Linked DNA regions of Ovis aries. The main gene of each other region encodes a partner of the protein of the gene in region 2 in a complex. Links are inferred from orthologs where the notes say so. Each region holds a gene or a part of one and is shown on either strand. Other genes may lie near its edges.

Region 1 (4,411 bases), on a different chromosome or scaffold from region 2:
TTGCCAACTAGGACTGTTTGGTGACCCTGAAATGCAGTGCATACAGGAAAGGCAAGAAGATTAATACTTTCCCTTTAACAGTCGACTTTCAGAGTTAGGGGACAATGCCCTCATTTCACTGCTGATGGTGAACAATGTAGTGTTTTGATTTCTTTTGTTTTTGTTTCCTCTTGGAAACAACTTGGCGACCGAACAACAACTGTCTTTTAAGTATCATTAAGAATCCCTGGAATTTTTACATATTAAGTGTGTTTCAGACACTCGCAATTATTATTGTTTTTTAAATTGAACTATAGTTGATTTACAATATTGAGTTAATTTTAGGTGTACAGCAAAATGATCCCATTATATTGGGTTGGCCAAAAAATTCTTTCAGGTTTTCCCATAAGACATTACACATATACGTTCTTTTTCTTTATAGGCTATCACAATACACTGAATATATATATAGTTCCCTGTGCTATACAATAAATCCTTGTTGTTTATCTATTTTATGTATGTGTGCTTCATTCGTGTCTGACTCTTTGCAACCCTATGGACTGTAGCCCTCCAGGCTCTTCTGTTAATGGGAGTAACTGCCAGGCAGGAATACTGGAGTATAGCAGTGTATTAATCCCGAACTCCTAATTTATTCCTTCTCACCCCTGCGATTATTAATTTTTAAGGTAGGCTGTTTTTTGAAGTCACGCACAAAAACGAACAAAGTCAGAGCAGTGCATTTTCAAATTAAATCAAATCCACATGCTGATACCCATTTCAAGAAACAGAACATCATCACCAACATCCATAAACACCTCCTGTGGACCCTCCAGTCATTACCCCCAAGGGTAACCATCCTCCTGACTTCTAATATCATGGATTCGTTTGCCTGTTTTGAACTTCACTTACATGAAATCATACATGTTCTGTTTCGTCCCCACTGGTTTTCCTCTGACATTGTGTTCATAGATCTACCCACTTTGTAGCCAATTATTTTTGTTTCTGCAGGGTATTCCATTGGTGAATATACTGCAGCTTGTTGGTAGATATGTGGGTTGTTCCAGTTTGGGGTTATTATGAATAGTGAGGCTGTGAACATTCTTGTACATGTCTTTTCATGAATTTATGAACATATTTCTGTTGGATTTATGCCTAAGGCTAGAATCGCTGAGTCACGAGTTATGCATATATTCAGCTGTAGTTGATAATAGCCAAACAGTTTTCTAAAGGGGTTACACAAATTTACACCCCCACCAGCAGTATATGACTATTCTAATGGCTCTACATTATTGTTAACACATGGTATTATCTTTTTCAGTTTAGCCATTCTGGTGGTTATGTAGTGGTATTTTTACTGAAAGACTGTGTGTGAGGTCCGGCTGCTCGCCGCTCAAAAGCCAGTAAACAGGCCAAGTAGGTGGAAAGGAAAGTTTGCTTTATTTCAGAAGCCAGCAGCTGGAGGGTGGGGGGAGGTGGATGTCTGTCCAAAGTCCAATCCCCTCCCCGCCATCCCCGGCAACCAGTGGGGCAGGAGCTTTTATAGACAGAAGGACAGGGTGTTGGGGGTGGGTGCTACATGCAGAAACCGCAGTCAGCTCTGATAGTCATCTTCAAATTGGTCATCAGTGGTCTAACCAGTATCATCTTCACTGTTTTAGGTACAGTTAATCTTCAGTTCCGGGGTCCGTTTGTTCTCATTTCTTTGTGGCCAGTTCTTGGAATTGTGGCAGGAATTGTCCTGGGTACAGCCTGGTCATCGTGTAGCTAACTTCTCTGCCTGGTGTGTCTAGAAGACAGCTCATAGGACATGGCTCAGAGCATTACCTATAGCCCTTGAGAAAGAATTAAAGGTCCTTGACTATGCTTAATGACTATGTTCTTATTAGTTAGTCTCCTTTGACAGTTTCCCCTTGATTCTGCATTTCTCGCTTCTCGGATAAAACTTATTCTTTGACCAAAGTTTTCCACAGACAAAAGGCAGGCAGAGGTGTCAGGGTAGGGGGCAAGGACCCATAAGATCTTGCATTTTTTCAGTATTGCATGATCTCAGTTTGCCTTTCTGTGAAGCCTAGTGATGACTTCTCATATGATTGCTGGCCACCTGGATAGTCTCTTTTGTGAAACGTCCTTCTTTCTGTTAGCTTACATGCCTTTTTCATATTGATTTGTAGGAACTCTTCACAGATTCTGACATGAATCTTTTGTCAGATGCTTGTATTGCAAACATCTCCTCTCTCTCTGTGGCTTGCCTCTCTACTCTTTTAGTGATGTCTTCCGACAAACAGTTCTTAAGCCTAATGAAGTTCAGCTTATCAATGCTTTTCTTTATAGCTAGTGTTTTTTTGTGATCTGTTTAAAAAGTATCTGTCTACCCCAAGGTCCTTTGTTTTCTCTTAAAAGCTTTCTTTTTCACTTTTCATAGGTAGATATATGGTCCATCTAAACACACATTTAAATCTTCAGTTCATCAGGAGTTGATTTTTTGTGTCTAACATAAGTCAAGATTAATTTTTTTCAGTGTTGATATCCAAGTGACCCAGCACGATTTATTTAAAAGATCATTCTTTCACCTTACTGAGAAAGAGTAAGTGACACCTTACTGTCACCCTTGTCCTAAATCAAGTGACCATATGTTTTGGACTCTTTGTTCCATTGATCTATCTGTCTATCTTTGGCACCCCACTCCAGTACTCTTGCCTGGAAAATCCCATGGATGGAGGAGCCTGGTAGGCTGCAGTCCATGGGATCATGAAGAGTTGAAGAGTCAGACACGACTGAGCAACTTCACTTTCACTTTTCACTTTCATGCATTGGAGAAGGAAATGGCAACCCACTCCAGTGTTCTTGCCTGGAGAATCCCAGGGACAGCGGAGCCTGGTGAGCTGCCATCTATGGGGTCGCACAGAGTCGGACACGACTGAAGTGACTTAGCAGCAGCAGTAGCAGCAGCATGCCAATATAATTCTGTTTTAATAACTGTAAATTTATAATAATATTGATAAATGATAAATCCAAAAATTTTATTCTTCTTCTTCAAGAGTACCTGACTATTCTTTCCCATTGTGTTTCTTTCTTTCTTCCTTTTTAAAAAAATGTCAGCTCTGTCTTCCTTGTTTAAAAATTAATTTATTTCTTAATTGGAGGAAAATTGCTTTATAGTGTTGTGTTGGTTTCTGCCCTAGAACTCGAATCAGTCATAATTATATTGCCCTTTGCATTTTCACATATATATTTTTAAATGGCTTGCTAACATCTCCCCTCTCTCCACAATAATTTGCTAGGTTTTTTTTTTTAACTAATCAATTTTATTTTTTTTATTTATTTGGCTGCCTTTATTTGGGCTATGAACTGTAGCCCATCAGTTTCCTCTGTTCATGGGTTTCTCCAGGCAAACATACCGGAGTGTGTTGCCATGCCCTCCTCCAGGGGGTCTTCCTGACCCAGGGGCTGAGCTTGCATCTTTTATGTCTTCTGCATTGGCAGCTGGGTTCTTTACCATTACAGCCACCTGGGAAGCCCCAAGTTGTGTATACTATCCTCTTATTTCATAAATGTCTTAGGCTCTGTTCCAATGTGGTCTTTTCATTCATATTGGTAATTTCTATGTTCTTTCTCTCTTTTTATTTTCTTCCTTAATCAGTGTTGCTAGAGGTTTATCAGCTTTATCACTCTTTTTAAAAACCAAGCTTTGATTTTCTCTATGTAGGTTAGTTTTCTGTTTCACTGATATGCTCATATCTTTATTCCTTCCATATTCCTCTCCGAGTTTGACTTGCTTTTCATTTAGCTTTTTGAGATGGAATATTAGATAATTAGTTTTCAGTTTTTCTTTTTTTTTAAAAACATATGCGTATAATGCCGTGTTTCCTCTAAGCACTTTGTTAACTGTATCACACACGTTTTGATTTGTCCTATCTTAATTCTCATTCAGTTAAAAATATTTTAAGGTCTCCATTTTTGACCTTACATTCTTTAGAAGTACAATGCTTATTTTCCAAGAAGTTCAGATTTTTCTTGCTTTCTCTTTGTTATTGAATTTCTAGTTTAATTCTACTATAGTCAGAGAACATACTCTGGATTATGTAAATCTGTTGAAACTTACTGAAGTTTATTTTATGACCCAGCACATTTATGGTCAATTTTGATATTTCATGTGTACTTGAAAAAAATGTTTACTTTGCCATTATTGGCTATAATATTATCTGTTAGTCAGTTATATCAAGTTTGTTAATTGTGTTGTTCAGATCTTCTAGATACTTACTGGGTTTGGTTTTTTCCTTTTTTTTTGTCTGCTCTTATACCTGGGAAAGACTTGTTAAATCTTTTAGTTCAGTCAATTTTTGCTTTATATAGTTTGAAGCAATGTTATTGGAGACATACATATTTTAAATGGTTATATCTCCCTTAGGGAGTGAAAGAACCGCATAGTCGG
Region 2 (2,684 bases):
CAGAGTTTGTGAGTCACTACCGTTCCCCACCCTCCCTGTGGGACCCACACCTCTGCTCCTCCCAGAACCTCTCCCTGTAGCCTCACTGTCCTTACGATGGCCACCCCGCCATCCTCCCCAGCAGCTCCTCCTCTTCACGTCCCTCCACTCCCCAGCCCCTCCCCTCCTTCTAGCTGGTGGAACCCTGGAGTTTCAGGGCACCCCCTGCATTCTGTGAGGGGGCCTGGGGTACTCACCTTGTCCCTACTCCTTGCTCCAGGACTACCCCTCCGTGGGTCAAGTAGCCCAGGCCCTCTCTGCGGCAAACATTCAGCCCATCTTTGCTGTCACCAGCGCCACACTGCCTGTCTACCGGGTAAGAGCTGTGTGAATGCCAAACCCTCCCATGCCCAGCCTTTCTCAGCTCCCTCAAAGGCCCATTTTCCCCTCCCGATATGCTCTTCTTCCAGAGTCCCCCCTCCATCCGCAAGCTTATTTCCTGAGAGTTGTGACCCACCATTTCCTTCAACTCCCCCCATCGCAGGAGCTGAGTAAGCTGATTCCCAAGTCTGCAGTAGGGGAGCTGAGTGAGGACTCCAGCAATGTGGTGCAGCTCATCATGGATGCTTATAATGTGAGGGGCTGGGTGGGTGGGGGGCACTGGGGAAAATGGAAAGGGACCCCCAGGTAGGATGGCAGAACCAAGAGGACAATCACCTGTTGGTATCACACCCCACAGCTCCTGCCTATAGTCTGTGTGTGTGGCCGTCATTAACAGCTCAGTCACTCAGTCTTGTACTCATTCATAAATCTTAAATGCCTGATTTGTACAGAGCATGAAGCACTGCTCTGGGCAAGAAAGGGAATTAATATTGATTGAGTTTTTATTTCATGCCAAGCACCATCCCAAGTATACACTGTTTGATGTCTCTTTTACTCCACTAAAACCCCTCCCTGCTTGGAAACTATTTTTCTAGTTTTATCCATGGGGATACAGACGCAGGGAGGAGGCTAAGTGACTTGCCCAAGATCACACAGATAACAGACACAAGGGCTGGCACTTGTCTATACATAAAGAATGTCATATCTGGAGATTGCCTTCACTATAAGCTTATCAATAATTCAGAGATAATCTTCACAGGAACCATAGAATTTTACAGGTAGACAGAACCATAAAAATTCATGTTTCTTGGGGTTAGGTCTTATCTCTGCAACTCGACTGCAGGCTTCTTGATAACAGAGACTGTGTTCTAAACCCATGGTGAAAAAATGTGAGACAATATCAAATTTCCCAGGACAAACTCAACTGAAAGAATCTGCTCTTTAGACCTTGTATGCTCACAGATTACATGTCCAGACATGAGGTTTGAAAAAGCTAGCTACTACGTTTACAGTGCTGGCTAGCCCCTGAGCCCCACCAGGTCTTTGCCGCAGCGGCACTGAGATGCCGTGTTGGAAACTTCTGGACCCTGTGTTCTCGCTCAAGGTCATCCCAGGTCCTTCCTGCAAACTCCTCCTGACTGGGCCGAGCAGAAGGAGCCCCCAGGTGGGCTGAGGGCGGGGTTCCGGCAGGATGCAGAACAGCTGGAGAGGGCCTGAGCTGTAACCAGCCTTCACATGGTCACTCTCTCTCGCTCTTTCCCCAGAGCCTGTCATCCACTGTGACCCTCGAACACGACTCTCTTCTCCCTCCGGGGGTCCGCATCTCTTATGAATCTCAGTGTGGGGATTCTGAGAAGAGACTGGGTGAAGCTGCCGACCGGGGCCAGTGCAACCACGTCCGAATCAACCAGACGGTGAGAAGGAAGGGTGTGGGGTGTGGGGTGGGGGTTGGGGGAATTGAGCAGGCAGGAGGGGATGGGGGGACAGGCCTGGGAAACAATGTAAAAAGCCTGAGGTATCCTCCACCCGTCCTTTCTGAGACACTTTAATGAGCAGCTTCCTCCAATGGTTCTAGGAGATGGGTGTTGGCATGACCCTGTCCCTTCATTCGCTAGGCAGGGTTCTGGATGACCAATGGGTTTGCAGTGTGTGCACGCGCACAGGAGTGTGTATGCACACAGGATCTTAGTATGAATCCCCCCTGCCTTGTCCTCAGGTGAAGTTTTGGGTTACTTTCCAAGCTGCCCGCTGCCTCCCAGAGCCTCATCTGCTGAGGTTCCGAGCCCGTGGCTTCTCCGAGGAGCTGACTGTGGAGCTGCACACACTGTGTGACTGTAACTGCAGTGACGCCCAGCTCCAGGCTCCTCACTGCAGCGATGGCCAGGGGCACCTCCAGTGTGGGGTGTGCAGGTGAGAGCCCACTTCCCTCACCCATATGGCTCCCCCGTACTCCTCCCACCTCACCCTCCATCCCTCCACCCGCGACTGTCTCTAGGTATCTTTTTCGTAGACCTTCCAAGACTCCACCCTGACTTTCACCTCCTGAAGCTTCTTCCCTCCACTCCAGCTCCCCCTGCTCTTCTGCTCCTCAGAACTCCGTTCTAGTCCATGCTCCTCTCAGCCTCTGCTCTCTCTCCAGCTATCTTGAGATCTTAGGTTTAGAGAGTTTGGGGAAAGGCAGGTCAAGACATGGTCAAATTCTCTGATCCCTCCTTTCCCTCTCTTCCCTTCCCCTCCCAGCTGTGTCCCCGGCCGCCTGGGTCGACTCTGTGAGTGTTCAGAGGCTGAGCTATCCTCCCCAGACCTGGAGTCTGGGTGCCGGG
Region 3 (3,647 bases), on a different chromosome or scaffold from region 2:
TGGCATCCCCGATCTCTGATTGGCTGATCACCACTGGAATGGGGCTGCTTGCCACATGCTGCCCATTCTTCTTCACGTGCACCAGGTGTTCTCCTGTCTCCTTGGGCACGAACGAGATCCCTAGGCACAGAGCGGGGCTGTCAGCCAGGGAAAGATATGCAACTACCCCCCACCCAGCTTCCCTCCCTCTCGGAAGGCCCTGCAGCCCAGCCTCTTACCCACGTGGCCGTTACGCAGCCGCTTCAGCAGACAGGGTTCTTCCCGGCCTGAGGGGGGCACCACTGTGGCAGTCAGCAGGCTGAGGTCCGTCTCGGAGATGTTGATGGGGATGTCAGCTGCAGAGCCCACCTTCAGGTGGGACATGCGCATGGAGTCGTCACCTGGCAGGGGTCAGTCACTGTGTGTCCAGGCACCGAGAGGGAGACCGCCCCCCCCCCCACCGCCAGCTGCCTCCTTTGTCACCGCTGCAGGCCGTCCCCTACCTGTGACCCTGGCAGTGAAGGGGCTGCCTGGGATGTGCTGTTCGTTGTACTTGACCAGGATGCTGTAGTCACCAGGTAACACGGGCAGGTAGGAGACACTGCACGTCCCATCCTGGTTGTCGGTGCAGCTGATCTCTGCTTTGGAGGGGCCCTCAATGGCCAGGGACAAGCCCCCTGGAGAGAGTTGTGAGTGAGGGTACAAACTGTGCCCGGGGACACTGCACCAACCATGCAAGCAGAGGCTGGGGGTGGGGTAGGGAGCCCTGTTTGGGGAGCATCTCCTGTGTCCAGCCCCCCAACAGATGACGGCATCCTGCCTCAATCAGGCAGGTCACGATGAGAGGGGCTGCTCACCCTCGCCCGCATCCTTGGTGTTGACGGTGAAGATAGCAGGCTTATTCACCACCCCATGTGTGAGGCCCGGCCCATAGGCTGTGACGTGGCCACAGTTGACATAATCCACGTAGAACTGTAGGGGGCTTCCTGTAGCAGGAATAGGGACCACATGGACCAGGGCCTCCCGTCATCCCCAAGTCTGTCCCACAGCCTGCCCCCCCAGGAGGTGGTCTGGCATGCTGAGTGGACGTACCTGGGATGTGCATGTTGTCATAGCGGATGTCCATCTCGTGCAGGCCAGCTTCACTGGGGGCGTAGCGCACAGTCACGGTGCCATCCTTGTTGTCAGTGATGGCGGGCTGTGCCACCTTGCCTGAGGGCATCCGCACCTCCCCTGCAGGGGAAAGGGGGGCCTGAGTCAGGGCAGCCCATGGGCACCCTCCGGCCTCTGTGGCTCCCTAGCCCCTTCCCAGCTGCACTCACCAGTGACCTCGCCCTTCTTGATGGTAAAGGGGATGACAAGGTCAAAGGGCCTCAGGCTGCTCACATCCAGCCCATTGACCCCCACCAGGGGCCTTTCTGGGGCCTGCGGGGGGCGGAGACACAGAAGGCCTGAGTGAGGAGCTGGAGGGAAAGGGAGTCCCGAGTGATAGGCTCCAGGGTCCCTCCCTCGAAGATAGTGGAACAGGGCCTCACGGGACACCCAGCTGGTCCATCCCCAAGTGTCCCCGAGGGCGGGGGGGGCTTGGAGGCGGCAGGGCAAGCCATACCCAGGTCTGCTGGCCCCCCTGGGCGTAGGTATATGGTGGTGCCAGCTGCTGAGGCCGTAATGGTGGCTGTGCCGTGGGCTGGTCTCCAGCCAGAGCCTGCAGAGCAAGGCACAGAGCTCGAGGCTGTCCAAACCCGCGAGCCCCGTGGGGGCGGCGAGCCAGGTCCCTGCCCAGACCCCCACCCAGCCCCAGTCCCTCCTGACCGTCACTTGGAAGGGACTGTTGGGCACATGTTCACCACCGAAGCGCACGCAGATGACGTATTTGCCGGGCTGGGGAGCCGTGTAGAAAATGTCAAAGGTGCCATCCTCATTCTCAACCACGTCCACGTCCACCTCAGAGCCGTCGGGCGTGCACACAGTGCAGGTGACCTTGCCTTTGCCCGCCGCCTTGGTGTCCACGGTGATCACGGTCTCCTCCCCTATCTGGATGGTGGGGCCGATGCCAGCACCTGGTGGGGCAGGGTGGGTCCCCGAAGGGGGGGCCGGGGCATGAGCTTGGTGCTCAGGCCGTGGCCATTCACGTGTCAGCCGCCCAGGCCTCTTACTGCCAACCACCAAGCACAGCCAGGCCTCCCGCCCCCCAAGCTGGGATGGTGAGTGATTTCTCAGAAGGCAGGAAAGGTTCCCCTGAACCACCTCAAGCCCGGGAGTCCTGTCTCGGGGGGTATCCCTGTCATGTGGGAAAAGCCCAATGGTTGGCATCCAAGAGTCTGAGAAGAAGAAGGGCCTGGAAAGCCCCGAGGCCACTGCCAGGGCCTAAGCATTTGCTGCCATCTCCCCTGCCAACTTGGCCTCAGCCAGTGGTGCCCTGGACCATTCTGACTGACAGCTGAGCCTCGGGCTGCCTTCACCCCTGTGGCCATGCCCTGGCCCCCAGTGCCGTGTGCGGACGCAGTGAGGCAGAGTCCTGCTGCAGCGTGGGGCATGTGACACTTGTTCCCCACCCCTGGGGCCTGAAGTTGCAATCGGAGTTTCCTGACAACTGAGAAGGCTCGCTCGACCGGAGACTTGCAGAGAAGGGGCAGCCGGGCATGGCTTGGTGCAGGCAGGGAACCGGGAGCAGGGAAGCAGGAAGGCAGCGGGGTTAGCACCCAGGCAGTGCAGCGCAGCAGGGGGGCCAGTACCCATAGGGCAGGGAGGCAGGGGGCCCAAGCCAGAGCCACGGCTGCGAGGCGGTGAGAGCAGAGGGGAGGGACAGTGACGTTATGATCTGGGCTCAGCCATGGAGGCTCGGGGGGCTGGGGACCGTGAGGCCTGGCAGCGAGTGCTTTCTGGAGCCTGGCCCCTGCCAGGGAAGCAGCTGGCAACACCGAACCCACCCCAGGGCCAAATTCAAGGGGGTCCCCAGCCGGCCACTTGGCCAGCCCCTGAACTGTACTGTCCACTGAGGGTGCCCACTTTGCGGGGCTCCAGAACACTACGCCTGGACCCCCACCGCCCACCCCCAACTGGGAGGCCTCACCTCATACACAGCCACACCTGCTCTCCCTGGCTCGGAACCTGGACCCACCATCTAGTAAGTGGCCTGGGCCCAAACCTCAGTTGACCCCAACTGCCCGTGCTCCCTGCCCAGCACCCAGCTCTTCATCAGGTCTGGGCTGCTCCATCCTTGAAGCCCCCCACCCCTTGAGGTTCTCCCCTCAAGCCCCACCCACCCACCAGCAGCCTAGCCCAAGCCAGCCCTGCAACTGATACCGAAGTGACTTCGGTTCCCCAACTGGGCTCTTTGCCTCCGCTGGCACATGGCGGCCAAGGTAAACCAAGACCGCTCTCTCGGCCCCAGTCTTGACCCTGCCCCTGGTCCCCAAGGTCCTATCCCCTGGCCCAGGGACACGGGCCTGTCATCTCAGACCCCAAGGCCCCCTGGACGGAGTCATCAAACCCCTGCCATCCTCTAGCTTTCTCCAGGGCCACCTTGGCCAAGGTCCAGGCCTCCAGCCTCCAGAGGCTCCCATGTGCTTGTGGCCTCTTGCTGGCATCCCTGGCTGGGGCGGGCCTCCCCTCCCAGGTCTGGTTGGGGACCATCTGAATAACGTCACTGCTGGGAGGGGCAGGAA

What was found.
Region 1: the proteins of ITGB7 (region 2) and ITGAE are in contact, whole or in part, in a cryo-EM structure (PDB 8ZJF), measured with the Homo sapiens proteins. The link is inferred for Ovis aries from reciprocal best matches to the Homo sapiens genes ITGB7 and ITGAE. Residues at the interface, in NP_000880.1 of Homo sapiens: Val201, Leu202, Pro203, Ser206, Thr207, Val208, Pro209, Ser210, Lys211, Arg213, His214, Cys216, Pro217, Arg219, Leu220, Glu221, Arg222, Leu255, Asp256, Ser257, Pro258, Thr291, Phe292, His293, Thr294, Ala295, Gly296, Asp297, Lys299, Leu300; in NP_002199.3 of Homo sapiens: Phe36, Leu38, Arg91, His92, Arg93, Gly94, Leu111, Arg113, Leu118, Ser119, Ser120, Leu122, Glu196, Glu198, Arg230, Tyr233, Glu234, Phe237, Glu238, Cys239, Asn240, Ser259, Gln260, Val262, Met263, Leu266, Arg300, Leu401, Gln403, Phe406.
Region 3: the proteins of ITGB7 (region 2) and FLNA are in contact, whole or in part, in a crystal structure (PDB 2BRQ), measured with the Homo sapiens proteins. The link is inferred for Ovis aries from reciprocal best matches to the Homo sapiens genes ITGB7 and FLNA. Residues at the interface, in NP_000880.1 of Homo sapiens: Pro776, Leu777, Tyr778, Lys779, Ser780, Ala781, Ile782, Thr783, Thr784, Thr785, Ile786, Asn787, Pro788; in NP_001104026.1 of Homo sapiens: Thr2263, Gly2267, Ala2268, Gly2269, Gly2270, Leu2271, Ala2272, Ile2273, Ala2274, Val2275, Glu2276, Gly2277, Pro2278, Ser2279, Lys2280, Ala2281, Ile2283, Phe2285, Phe2311.

The regions. Positions count from the first base shown.
Region 1 is NC_056064.1:24,320,616-24,325,026, reverse strand, and holds the start of ITGAE (integrin alpha-E), read left to right. Parts: upstream 1-1,544; 5' UTR 1,545-1,555; coding exon 1,556-1,637; intron 1,638-4,411. UniProt on the Homo sapiens protein: Integrin alpha-E/beta-7 is a receptor for E-cadherin. It mediates adhesion of intra-epithelial T-lymphocytes to epithelial cell monolayers.
Region 2 is NC_056056.1:133,285,274-133,287,957, forward strand, and holds part of ITGB7 (integrin beta-7), read left to right. Parts: coding exon 1-8; intron 9-259; coding exon 260-355; intron 356-523; coding exon 524-613; intron 614-1,625; coding exon 1,626-1,775; intron 1,776-2,077; coding exon 2,078-2,271; intron 2,272-2,601; coding exon 2,602-2,684. UniProt on the Homo sapiens protein: Integrin ITGA4/ITGB7 (alpha-4/beta-7) (Peyer patches-specific homing receptor LPAM-1) is an adhesion molecule that mediates lymphocyte migration and homing to gut-associated lymphoid tissue (GALT).
Region 3 is NC_056080.1:80,094,768-80,098,414, reverse strand, and holds part of FLNA (filamin-A), read right to left. Parts: intron 2,040-3,647; coding exon 1,792-2,039; intron 1,685-1,791; coding exon 1,589-1,684; intron 1,405-1,588; coding exon 1,302-1,404; intron 1,213-1,301; coding exon 1,072-1,212; intron 966-1,071; coding exon 837-965; intron 657-836; coding exon 483-656; intron 381-482; coding exon 219-380; intron 121-218; coding exon 1-120. UniProt on the Homo sapiens protein: Promotes orthogonal branching of actin filaments and links actin filaments to membrane glycoproteins. Anchors various transmembrane proteins to the actin cytoskeleton and serves as a scaffold for a wide range of cytoplasmic signaling proteins.